Linked DNA regions of Arabidopsis thaliana. The protein of the gene in region 1 interacts with the protein of each later gene in a pairwise test. Each region holds a gene or a part of one and is shown in the gene's direction. Other genes may lie near its edges.

Region 1 (6,348 bases):
TATCGATAACTCGGTCCACAATCTGATGCAATTTGCTGATGAGTTTTGGGAAATATTTTGGAGGCAAAACACACAAAATTATTTCACTATAAAAATGTTACTATAATAATAAGTTGACCATATAAACAAAGAACCAAAATTGACCCCAAGGAGCGTCGCATAGTCTTATTCTTCAGCAAATCTACGACTCGACTTACCCAGAAACATGATGACACTTTTCTTTTGGTAAACATGATGTCACGAAAAAAAATTACACACATAATCTATAGATAGTTAGAGGATGTGTTAGAATTCACATATCAGTTTAATTGGTAGTATATGATTTATATGCTGATTATGATTGAAAACTATCAGCCTGTTTTAAGGTAATTATGAGTTATGATGGGTACTTATGAGTTTGACCATATATAGGATTAGGTTGTTAAAATGCATACATACAGGTTATGTGTATGTTTATGTTTATATTTTCATATAAACAACAACAAGTACACTTTCTTGTAATTTAGTGATTTAGATTTCTTAATCAATTTGTGTTTTTTTTTAATTGTGGAGTAGTATGAATTGAGTTCACAAAATAGCAAATTTGTGACTACGAAAACTCCACGGAAGATATATAGAAGAATCGAAGAAAAGTAGAGAATAATGAGGAGTAAGTCAAATGATCAAATCCACGGACTAATCCATTATGTTTGATGTGACGAGAGAAAAATAAGTGAATATTTAATACTATATACTATAGTATATTTTTGCAAAAGTTAAAGGTGTTGCATTAATTTTTTGATAGCAAACAATTAAGGAAATGGGGGAAAAAGTGTAAGCGGGCGGCCAAGTGAAGACATTCTCTGTCGCCCACCCAAACACCAAAGAAGAGAAGGCGTGCCTCACTTTCCCTCTTTCTCCACGCACTTCTCCTTGCCCGTGTTTCTCACTCGCTTTACCCTAATCACTCCATTACAACTATACCTACAAGACCATTAAGATAAGCTTATCAATAAGAACACTGAGATAAAGTTGATCTCTATTTACGAATTGTTTACTACCAATAGATTTTGATTCGTACCAATCTTTTAAAGTATGTATGTATTGTTTGAATAGTAGTTCTACCGAACCAAAAATATTTTAATTGATCATGTAAAATATATTTAAGATTGTTGTGTGTTAATTATAGTGATCTTTAGAAAAAAGAGTAGCCAACGTGATAATGAAAGCGCGTGTTAAGAGTATTGAAACACTCACACGCTTGTGGAGGTTACCTGCTAAGTCGGTCGATTTGATCGATGGTGGGTCTTTTACACATCCCCAACGTCATTTACCATTTATTCAACCTCATATATTATGTTCTTGATGATGAAAAAGAACATAATATTTTTTTTTTTTTTTTTTTTTAATTTTTTTTTGATGATGATGAAAAAAAAAAATATTATGTTCTTTTTTAATTTCTTTTTAATATTTTTGACAGTAATTTTATTTTAATCTTATTTTGTTACAAATAGTTTTTAATACCTTAGGACCTGTTGGAACTTGGAAAAAAACAATATTTTTTAATATCTCAGGATCTTTGCCCATACATGTTTTGGGCACCCATGCGTTTATATGAAAAACAGCATGCAGATGTAAAATATAAACAACTGTAGATTTGGTCAGATGTTAAAATTTAAATTATGTCTTTTGAAATGTGACCTATAATTGTCCAGATAGATATACATAACTATTTAGTAATTGTAAGTCTATTTCCTGTAATGTATTCAGCTAAATGCATGTAGATAATCTGATATCACATACATCTATAGCCATATAGAGAATGCATAGTAACATCAACAACATATAAATTTTGGGCTATTTTCTAATGAGGGTTTTTGAGTATAAATGGATCTCCTAAAACGAGTTTACCGGATGGGTAAGGTAGTAGTTCCCTTTGAGTTTTCTTTCTGCTTTGTATAATTAAAACAAAGTAATTGATTAGGAACTTAGTAGGTCCTAAAGAGAACCAACAATGGTTTCGGTTATAAATAAACCAAATGGGTACATTATCCTTATATCTAGAAACTTTAACCAAAAACAAGATGTTATCTAGAAACAATAAATACATCCGGAATGAGACTTTTTCTTATGTAAGTCGATACAATGGGGGCATTGTTTTATTTCCCTTCAAATGAACTTTGCTTTTTGATCATTTTAAAAAGCCATATTGAAAAAATCAATGAGATAGGAAGATAGATATTATAATATTCTTTTTATAAAAAAGACAAAAAAAATACACTAAAACAATTGAATAAGAGTCAGCAAAACAACGACGTCCTTACCTTTTTTAAAAGTTTCCCAGTTTTGACTTTTGACCTAAACCATTTCCATGTAGAAAGAGAGCAAAAAACAAAACAAAACAAAGATAAGTAAAAAATAAAAATGATATAAAGAAGGAAGAAGAAGACCGAGAAAGGTAGACGAAAGAAAGAGCGTACCTTCCTCTTTCCTTCTTCGTAAAAACCAAGTTCCTTTTAAAAGGAGCCTCTCCTTTCTCATTTGATCCTTCTTCAAAAACCCCAACCACTTCTTCTCCCCAAAAACCTCCAAAGTTTCAATCTTTACTTCTCTCTTTTTCTCCAAGTTATCTTCTTTTCTAGGTATGTCTTGATTCTTTCTCTCTCTGTTTTTTCCTATTTCATTCAGGATTCTGGGTTTGGTTAAATCTTTAATCTTTATGGTTTTAATGGCTTGATTTTGACGAAACGGTCGTGTAATTATTCATTACTTTGCTTAAATTGGGGATTGATTTTGTGTATAAAGAAGAATCTTGAAAATGAAAAATTGAAACTTTGAATCGAAAGAACTCAATTTGCGTTGCTCTTTCTCATTCTTTGTTGCTTTCTCCTAAAAGTTTTTCACTTTTGAATCACAGGAAGAGATATGTGCGGTGCAAAGAGCAACCTTTGCTCATCTAAAACCCTAACAGAAGTCGAATTCATGAGGCAGAAATCAGAAGACGGAGCTTCCGCCACGTGTCTCCTCGAATTCGCCGCCTGTGATGATCTTTCATCGTTTAAGAGAGAGATCGAAGAGAATCCATCGGTGGAGATTGATGAGTCAGGGTTTTGGTATTGCAGACGGGTCGGGTCTAAGAAGATGGGTTTTGAAGAAAGAACACCACTTATGGTTGCTGCTATGTATGGAAGCATGGAAGTGTTGAATTACATAATTGCCACAGGAAGATCCGATGTGAACAGAGTTTGCAGTGACGAGAAAGTCACTGCTCTTCACTGTGCAGTTTCTGGCTGTTCTGTTTCTATCGTTGAGATCATCAAGATCTTGCTTGATGCTTCTGCTTCACCTAATTGTGTTGACGCTAATGGGAACAAACCGGTTGATTTGTTGGCTAAAGATTCTCGGTTTGTTCCTAACCAGAGTAGAAAGGCGGTTGAGGTTTTACTGACCGGGATTCATGGTTCGGTTATGGAAGAAGAGGAGGAGGAACTGAAGAGTGTTGTGACTAAGTATCCAGCTGATGCATCACTTCCTGATATTAACGAAGGTGTTTATGGAACTGATGATTTTAGGATGTTTAGCTTTAAGGTTAAGCCATGTTCTAGGGCTTATTCACATGATTGGACTGAATGTCCTTTTGTTCATCCTGGTGAGAATGCAAGGAGGAGAGATCCTAGGAAGTATCCTTACACTTGTGTGCCTTGTCCCGAGTTTCGTAAAGGGTCTTGTCCTAAAGGAGATTCGTGTGAGTACGCGCACGGTGTTTTCGAGTCTTGGCTTCACCCGGCGCAGTATAGGACACGGCTTTGCAAAGATGAGACTGGTTGTGCTAGGAGAGTTTGTTTCTTTGCTCATAGACGGGATGAGTTAAGACCGGTTAATGCTTCTACTGGTTCTGCAATGGTTTCACCAAGGTCGTCTAATCAGTCTCCTGAGATGTCTGTTATGTCTCCTTTGACGCTGGGATCATCGCCAATGAACTCTCCTATGGCTAATGGTGTTCCTTTGTCTCCAAGAAATGGTGGTTTATGGCAGAACAGAGTTAATAGCCTTACACCACCACCGTTGCAGCTTAATGGTAGCAGATTGAAGTCGACTTTGAGTGCTAGAGATATGGATATGGAGATGGAACTTAGGTTTCGCGGTTTGGATAACCGGAGACTTGGTGATCTCAAGCCATCCAACCTCGAAGAGACTTTCGGATCATATGACTCAGCTTCTGTGATGCAACTTCAATCACCAAGCAGGCATTCTCAGATGAACCACTATCCGTCTTCACCTGTGAGGCAGCCTCCTCCTCATGGATTCGAATCTTCAGCAGCCATGGCAGCTGCAGTGATGAATGCAAGATCCTCAGCGTTTGCGAAACGCAGCTTGAGTTTCAAACCAGCTCCAGTAGCTTCTAATGTCTCCGATTGGGGATCACCAAATGGGAAGCTTGAGTGGGGAATGCAAAGAGATGAGCTGAACAAGTTGAGGAGAAGTGCCTCCTTCGGCATTCATGGAAACAACAACAACAGTGTGTCACGCCCTGCTAGAGACTACAGTGACGAGCCAGATGTGTCGTGGGTGAACTCACTGGTGAAAGAGAATGCACCAGAGAGAGTGAATGAGAGGGTTGGGAATACGGTGAATGGTGCAGCGAGTAGAGACAAGTTTAAGCTGCCGTCGTGGGCAGAGCAAATGTATATAGACCATGAGCAGCAGATTGTGGCATAAGAAGCAGAAAGAAAGATGTGGGATTTATATTGCTTTTGTCTTCTGGGCCTCTCTACACAGAATCTAACAAATCTGGCAATAATTCTTTGATTTGTGTTTGACCCATAGTTTGGTTACTAGTATATGTTTTTTTATGTTCTTTTTTTCTTTGTCATTCTCTTGTCCTTCGTGACACTATGTAATGATTAAAAGCAAATAATTGATGCATGAGTTCAAATGTTCTTTGAAGGATCCATCTTATTAGCTTTGTAATTGTTGTGATATCTTAATCTTATTGGTTACGTATTTCAAGTGCTTTAGAAAAAATGGGCCTAAGAGATTTTGGGGAGCTTTTTTGGCTTGTTATTTTCCTCACATATACAACTTGCAGCTTATTATTTATTGAAAATCTTTTCTTATCTAGATTCAAAAAGATTTCCACAAATTTTAATTAACGACCCCTGATTACAAAGAAACCTACCCAAAGTCAAATTTTGTCCATAATTTCTATCGTGTAGGACACTAAAAAGTAAAAACTCATACCTAATTGGTTTCTAGTAGAAACGGTCAGTGCACTATCTTTCTTTCAGGTTATCGAAGGAAAAAAGATCAGTAGAGTAGCATCGTTAATAGTAGAGTTAAGAAAAGCATGTAACATGTGGTCTACTTTTTATTTCACAGAAAAATACCATACCATGTGATAATGTCGCATAAAATCTTTACTTTTCCGGTGTTATCGATGTGTGTTAATGCTAAATACCCGAAACAATTTCAAGACTCAATTTTGAACTATCGAATAGAATTCTTCTAAAATGGATGAGGAAAAAGTCGCTGGTTTAAGTCGTGCGACCCTCAAAATAAAGTTAGGAATATAATCACAAGCTGCATACTTTCATTAATCAATTTAAAAAGAAACGACTAACTTTATTCTTTCTTTGCCAAACTCCATAATTAGTTAAGTCTATGAATGAATGTGAAGAGAGAGTTTTACATTTAAAATTGTAAAGGGCAAATTATAGAAAATTCTGTGTCCACCAATTAGGCTTGGCTCTTTAACTCACTGTTCTCAATCTTTAATAATCCCCATCTTCTTTTCTCCTATATGATTATCTCTCTTTCCTTCGTGCGTGTTATCTCTCTGAGCCACATGCCGACACTTACATAACTGTTGACCAAGTCTCTCTTCCTTCTTTATCAAATCATGCAACCTTCAAGAACAAGAGTTTCATTTTTTGAAACAGGAGAGACCATGAAGCAAAGAAAGAAGAGTTATCTCTCAATCTTCGTGATCTTCTTCTCTCTTTTCTTCTTCGGGATCTTCATGTACAATGACAACCTCAAATCCTCCATTGCTGACTTCACATCTTCGAACCCATTCTCTAGTTCATTTGTGGAGTTGCCGCCGGATGAGTGTGATCTGTTCACCGGTCAATGGGTTTTCGACAACAAGACATATCCATTGTATAAAGAAGAAGAGTGTGAGTTCTTGACGGAGCAAGTGACTTGTTTAAGAAACGGAAGGAAAGATTCTTTGTTTCAGAATTGGAGATGGCAACCTAGAGACTGTTCTTTACCAAAGTAAAGCTAATGTTTCAAGATGCCCTGTTTTTATCCGGTTTGATCGAATTGGTATTTAACAATTGTCTGTTTTATGATTGGTTTGATGAAGAT
Region 2 (5,240 bases), on another chromosome or scaffold:
AGGATCGTGGCGATTTTAGCGATCGGATTTATGAGAGTGGGAGATATAGTAGAAAAGGGATTATGGAAACCCTAGTTTGGGTTTCTCTTTGAATTCAAAGAATACTTTTTTTTGGTGAGTTTCTAGAAAATTTCCCTTACGGATTTATAAATATGAGGAAAATTGTGAGACTGGAGAGAAGACGGAGCTGTAGGGTTTTTTTTTTTTTATACACAGATTTTTATTAGCTTGCAGAATATTTTCCCAGAGAACTATAAATATTATTGCCAGCGAATTGAAAATTAACCGTCATCTGAATTCAGTAAATCAGCCCATGGGCTTGAATCTCTCTCACCTTAGGCCTTAGGTGTTGCATACTGATAGATTAAGATAGACATGTATAAATGTTTTGTGAGTTAGCAAATATAATGGTGTTTTTTCACTTTCTTAATCTAATGTTTTATAAAACAAATTGTCACATTAATACATATAACTAAACTACTTACTGTGAAATTATTCATGGAGACAACTTCTGTAGCTAAGACCTCTCGATTTTTATTTTGTATACTACAAACTAGGTAATTGTAAGAAAAGGTTTGTTCTGTAATGGCATTGTCGATTACCTCGTAGAAGAGGTTGGAATATTTCCGATGCCCGTAGCAAGATATAAAATCACAAATTCATTTTTCAGTTGTTAAAGAAAACAATTGTGGCTTTTTGTGTAGAACGACATTTCGTTATGTGGGTGGCGAGTATGGACAAACTACCCACTAAGTCTTGGTTAACAGCTTGGAACACAATTTCATTTTCTATCTATAAGCAACATATGCAATATAATCAACCAAATAAGAGAGATCACTTATTCTTTTGTTCTATCATATTTTGTGTGTCTGTTTTCAAAGGTTATACCGTCACATTATCCGCTTCTCACACTTGAGGCAAATTTTATGAGTTAGATAGCATATTGCCAAACACTCCAGCTATATATATCTTTTATCTTTTAGATTGATCTTTGTCTAATCTGCGAAAACAGCAAGATCATTTCAGGCTTCTCCATCACAGTTAGAATCATTTTCAAACGGATCGATTGAATGAGCAATCAAAAACACATTTTTATCGTCTAAGGAGAAATTTCCTTGCAATACTACTAATTTTAGTACAAATTTTGTTTACTTTTAAATTATGTAATGTTCTTTAAGTTTATTAAAAAATATCCCAAATTATATCGAAAGAAAGACATTAATAAAAGAAATGTATTATTGTCTAATTAACATATTTCGAAAGAAACAAAATACTGACTTTTTTAAGCGCTACTGTGTGCTTTTTTTACGGAAAAGTTAATCAAATACCAAAGAACGAAAATTTTCATTGTAGTGTGTCATGTGTATCTCCCATATATATATACGTATACATCGAAAAGATCCGAGGGAGAGTGGGCACAAAACTCTAGAAGTCAGATGCAAGTGTGTGTGAAAGAGAATGTGAAAGAGTGAGGGAGAGAGAAACTTCCTCTTCCTTTCTTTCATGCTTACGACAAAACTTCACCGCCACCTGTTTTGTCTCAAATCTTTTTTCCACCTTTTTAATTATATAATTTATTAAATGTTTTAGACTTATGAAAAATATTAATGTATATTCGCACGTATGAGACTACAAATCATATAAAACGAAACCCTATACATATAAACTAAGAGCGAGAAAGACAGCTAGAGAGAGAGAGAGAGATGAAGAAATGGTTGGGATTTTCATTGACACCTCCTTTGAGAATCTGCAATAGTGAAGAAGAAGAACTTAGGCATGACGGTTCCGATGGTACTCTCTTCTTCACACATCATCCCCCTGGTATATATATGTTGTTGGTGTGGCCACTATTAATATTCTTAATTTGATTTCTATTTTATGTGTAGTTTGGAGATATGATATTAACTTTGATCATCATCATCATGATGAAGACGTTCCAAAGGTGGAAGATCTCCTCTCAAACTCTCATCAAACCGAGTATCCTATAAACCATAACCAAACCAATGTCAACTGCACCACTGTGGTTAACAGGTTAAACCCACCCGGTTACCTTCTCCACGACCAAACCGTAGTTACACCACATTACCCGAACCTAGATCCGAACCTTAGCAATGATTATGGAGGTTTTGAGAGGGTCGGTTCGGTCTCGGTTTTCAAATCTTGGTTAGAGCAAGGCACTCCAGCATTCCCACTCTCGAGTCATTACGTTACTGAAGAGGCTGGTACGAGCAATAATATTAGTCATTTTAGTAACGAAGAGACTGGTTATAACACCAATGGCTCAATGCTATCATTGGCTTTGAGCCATGGGGCTTGTTCTGATTTGATCAACGAATCGAATGTATCCGCACGGGTCGAAGAACCGGTTAAGGTAGATGAGAAGCGGAAGAGATTGGTTGTTAAACCTCAGGTAAAGGAATCCGTTCCTCGGAAGTCGGTTGATAGTTATGGACAAAGAACTTCTCAGTATCGTGGAGTTACAAGGTACGTACGTTATTAAATAATGACGTCTCAAACATTTGTTTTGGTTTAAATGATGTCTCAAACTTACACGTAAGAAAAATGTGAATGCCACAATTATGTTACTTATGTATATTTGTCATTTTATTTTGTAGATTATGTATAATTGTGTCGACACATATTTATGTTGTGCGTGTATACAGGCATAGATGGACAGGGAGATATGAAGCTCACTTATGGGATAATAGCTGTAAGAAGGAGGGACAGACAAGGAGAGGAAGACAAGGTCAGAAAAAACAAATACAAAATAATTTTCCGATTCAATATGCTATCATGCATCAATAATCTTACTAACAATTATTTAATTTTGGCTTCGTATGTACTTTCGAATTCGCTTCTTGATCAATCACAGTGTATCTTGGTAAGCCAGAACTTTATTTTACAACCTATTATGCATGAGATCCCTCGTTCATTTCTTGTTGCCCTATTTTTGGCCTTCGAAGTAAAAATTAACCTTGTTACCTTCTGATAATTATAGAAAAACATTTAATAGTAGAATTAATACTTACTAAAATAGGAGGGTATGATGAGGAGGAGAAAGCAGCGAGGGCATATGATTTAGCGGCTCTGAAGTATTGGGGTCCTACCACTCACTTAAATTTCCCTGTGAGTTTGATCTTTCTGGTCCCGTACCTAGCTCCACTTCTAACTCCTTTATTACATGCAAGTGTGTTTTATATATGTACACTTATATACATGCAACATAACAGTTTCCATACTTATTTCGATATTTTGGATCTTGAATGTAATCATTTTCCGATTTTATTGACTTGATTTTGATGGAACTACATAGATTTGGCTTGTGATATCAGTTCCTTTGACGCTCTTTTATTCAGTTGAGTAATTACGAAAAGGAGATCGAGGAACTCAATAACATGAATCGGCAAGAATTTGTTGCCATGTTGAGGAGGTAATTACTCAACAGTGGGTTTGTAATGATATTTATGGACCTTATATAGTCATATGCATTTAACCATTAACAAACGCTTTGTAATTACATATCATAATCATAGGAATAGCAGCGGGTTTTCGAGGGGAGCTTCCGTGTATAGAGGAGTTACAAGGTTTGATTTGGACATATATGTGAAACTTGTATATATTTATATATGTACATGTACATGCATGGAATTAGATCATGATGATCATGCATGTATAACTCATGTAGGCATCATCAACATGGAAGGTGGCAAGCCAGAATTGGAAGAGTTGCTGGAAACAAGGACTTGTACCTTGGAACATTTAGTATGAACCACTTCTATACATATGGAATTATATCATAGCCTTTGAATTATTAAATATCACATTTTGTAACTATGATGAAGGCACGCAAGAAGAAGCAGCGGAGGCGTACGATATCGCGGCAATTAAATTCAGAGGCCTAAACGCTGTAACCAATTTCGATATAAATAGATATGACGTGAAGAGGATATGTTCAAGCTCAACGATTGTTGATAGCGACCAGGCCAAACATTCTCCCACCAGCTCTGGCGCCGGCCACTAACCGACACCGTAAACTCCTCGCCGGAGAGACTATTCCCACGTACGGTTGGTTTGAGGAAATAAGTTCGTCCAGTCTGTTTAATCATTTATGGTTTAATAAACATATATTCCTAAGTAATTGAGGCCGGTCTACATATATACAACTTTTTTAGCAAATTAAGTTATCAGAATCCACTATATATTATTCTCTATGATATACTTTGATTAAATTTCGTTTTTATTTTTAATTGAAAAAAGTTAATGCATTCATTATTTACAGGATCCATAACATAAGTGTTAATTAATTAGTATATATTAACTGCACCAAGTTGAGGAGAGGCGATTCCTCAATTTGTGTGCCTTCTTCTGTCGTGGTCGTACTTTAAGGAAAAGCGTTACAAATTTAAGTGAAACTTATTTAACTCATAATCAAATCCATCCAAGCCTTTGATAGTTTGATTAATTTTGAACCCGTATCGAGCTAATTCCCTCATGCCATGGTGAAAATAATTGGTGTCAATGGAAATTTGAAGGTTTCTATGGACTTCTTGAGATAAACTAAAGTAATATCAGATGTTAAAAAAAAAAAAAAAACTTTTTATATAATTTTTATTTTATTTATATGCTCGGTTACAAAGCCGGACAAATATCTAGCCGTCAAGAAACAAAAAAAGAACCAACATATGACATATATCACCATCATCGTTATTGTTATGATTCAACATTTAATTAGGGTATATTCTTGAAATCAACTTCAACTTCAACTAATTCTCTTTCTCCTTCTTTTAGCGGCAATGACTGTCCTATCTTTGTCAAACAATTGTTCAGAAGTTTTACACAGTTCATCATCTGATTGAACTTTTCCATTTCTTCGTCACTCAAAAGCGTATCATCTGTGACTTTTTCCTTCCCCAAATAAGTTTGTTCGAGTTTCTTTAGAACCTCCTCGACATCCTCCACATTCTTTTTAGTTTGTTCAAGGGTCGCCAATTCAGCGACATCTCTTTGTGATTCATAAGAAGCCATTTCTTATATAAAATAAGGTAAAGGAAGAATATGTGTGCGTGATAGAGAGATGATGATAATGGTGGTAAATGAGAGTTGAAGAACAAACATATTTATAGTGTGGGGTGGCTTATATTAATAAAAATAACAATTAATATTTGAGATAAGAAGATTTGTTCCCCATAAATTATAGATTACCTAATTAATATAGTGTGGTTGAGTAAAGAGGATTGAAA

What was found. Proteins that work in one complex are often made in the same cells at the same time.
Region 2: the proteins of CZF1 (region 1) and AT1G72570 interact in a two-hybrid assay, tested with the Arabidopsis thaliana proteins (one large-scale study listed by BioGRID).

The regions. Positions count from the first base shown.
Region 1 is NC_003071.7:16,769,633-16,775,980, forward strand, and holds CZF1 (zinc finger (CCCH-type) family protein), read left to right. Parts: upstream 1-2,364; 5' UTR 2,365-2,621; intron 2,622-2,896; 5' UTR 2,897-2,904; coding exon 2,905-4,698; 3' UTR 4,699-5,102; downstream 5,103-6,348. Other genes in the region: TBL28 (TRICHOME BIREFRINGENCE-LIKE 28), read left to right, coding at 5,879-6,255, 6,347-6,348. UniProt on the Arabidopsis thaliana protein: Involved in salt stress response. May positively modulate plant tolerance to salt stress.
Region 2 is NC_003070.9:27,329,678-27,334,917, forward strand, and holds AT1G72570 (Integrase-type DNA-binding superfamily protein), read left to right. Parts: upstream 1-1,703; coding exon 1,704-1,791; intron 1,792-1,886; coding exon 1,887-2,484; intron 2,485-2,663; coding exon 2,664-2,746; intron 2,747-2,872; coding exon 2,873-2,881; intron 2,882-3,037; coding exon 3,038-3,126; intron 3,127-3,356; coding exon 3,357-3,430; intron 3,431-3,533; coding exon 3,534-3,584; intron 3,585-3,685; coding exon 3,686-3,762; intron 3,763-3,842; coding exon 3,843-4,021; downstream 4,022-5,240. Other genes in the region: AT1G72580 (uncharacterized protein), read right to left, coding at 4,729-5,025.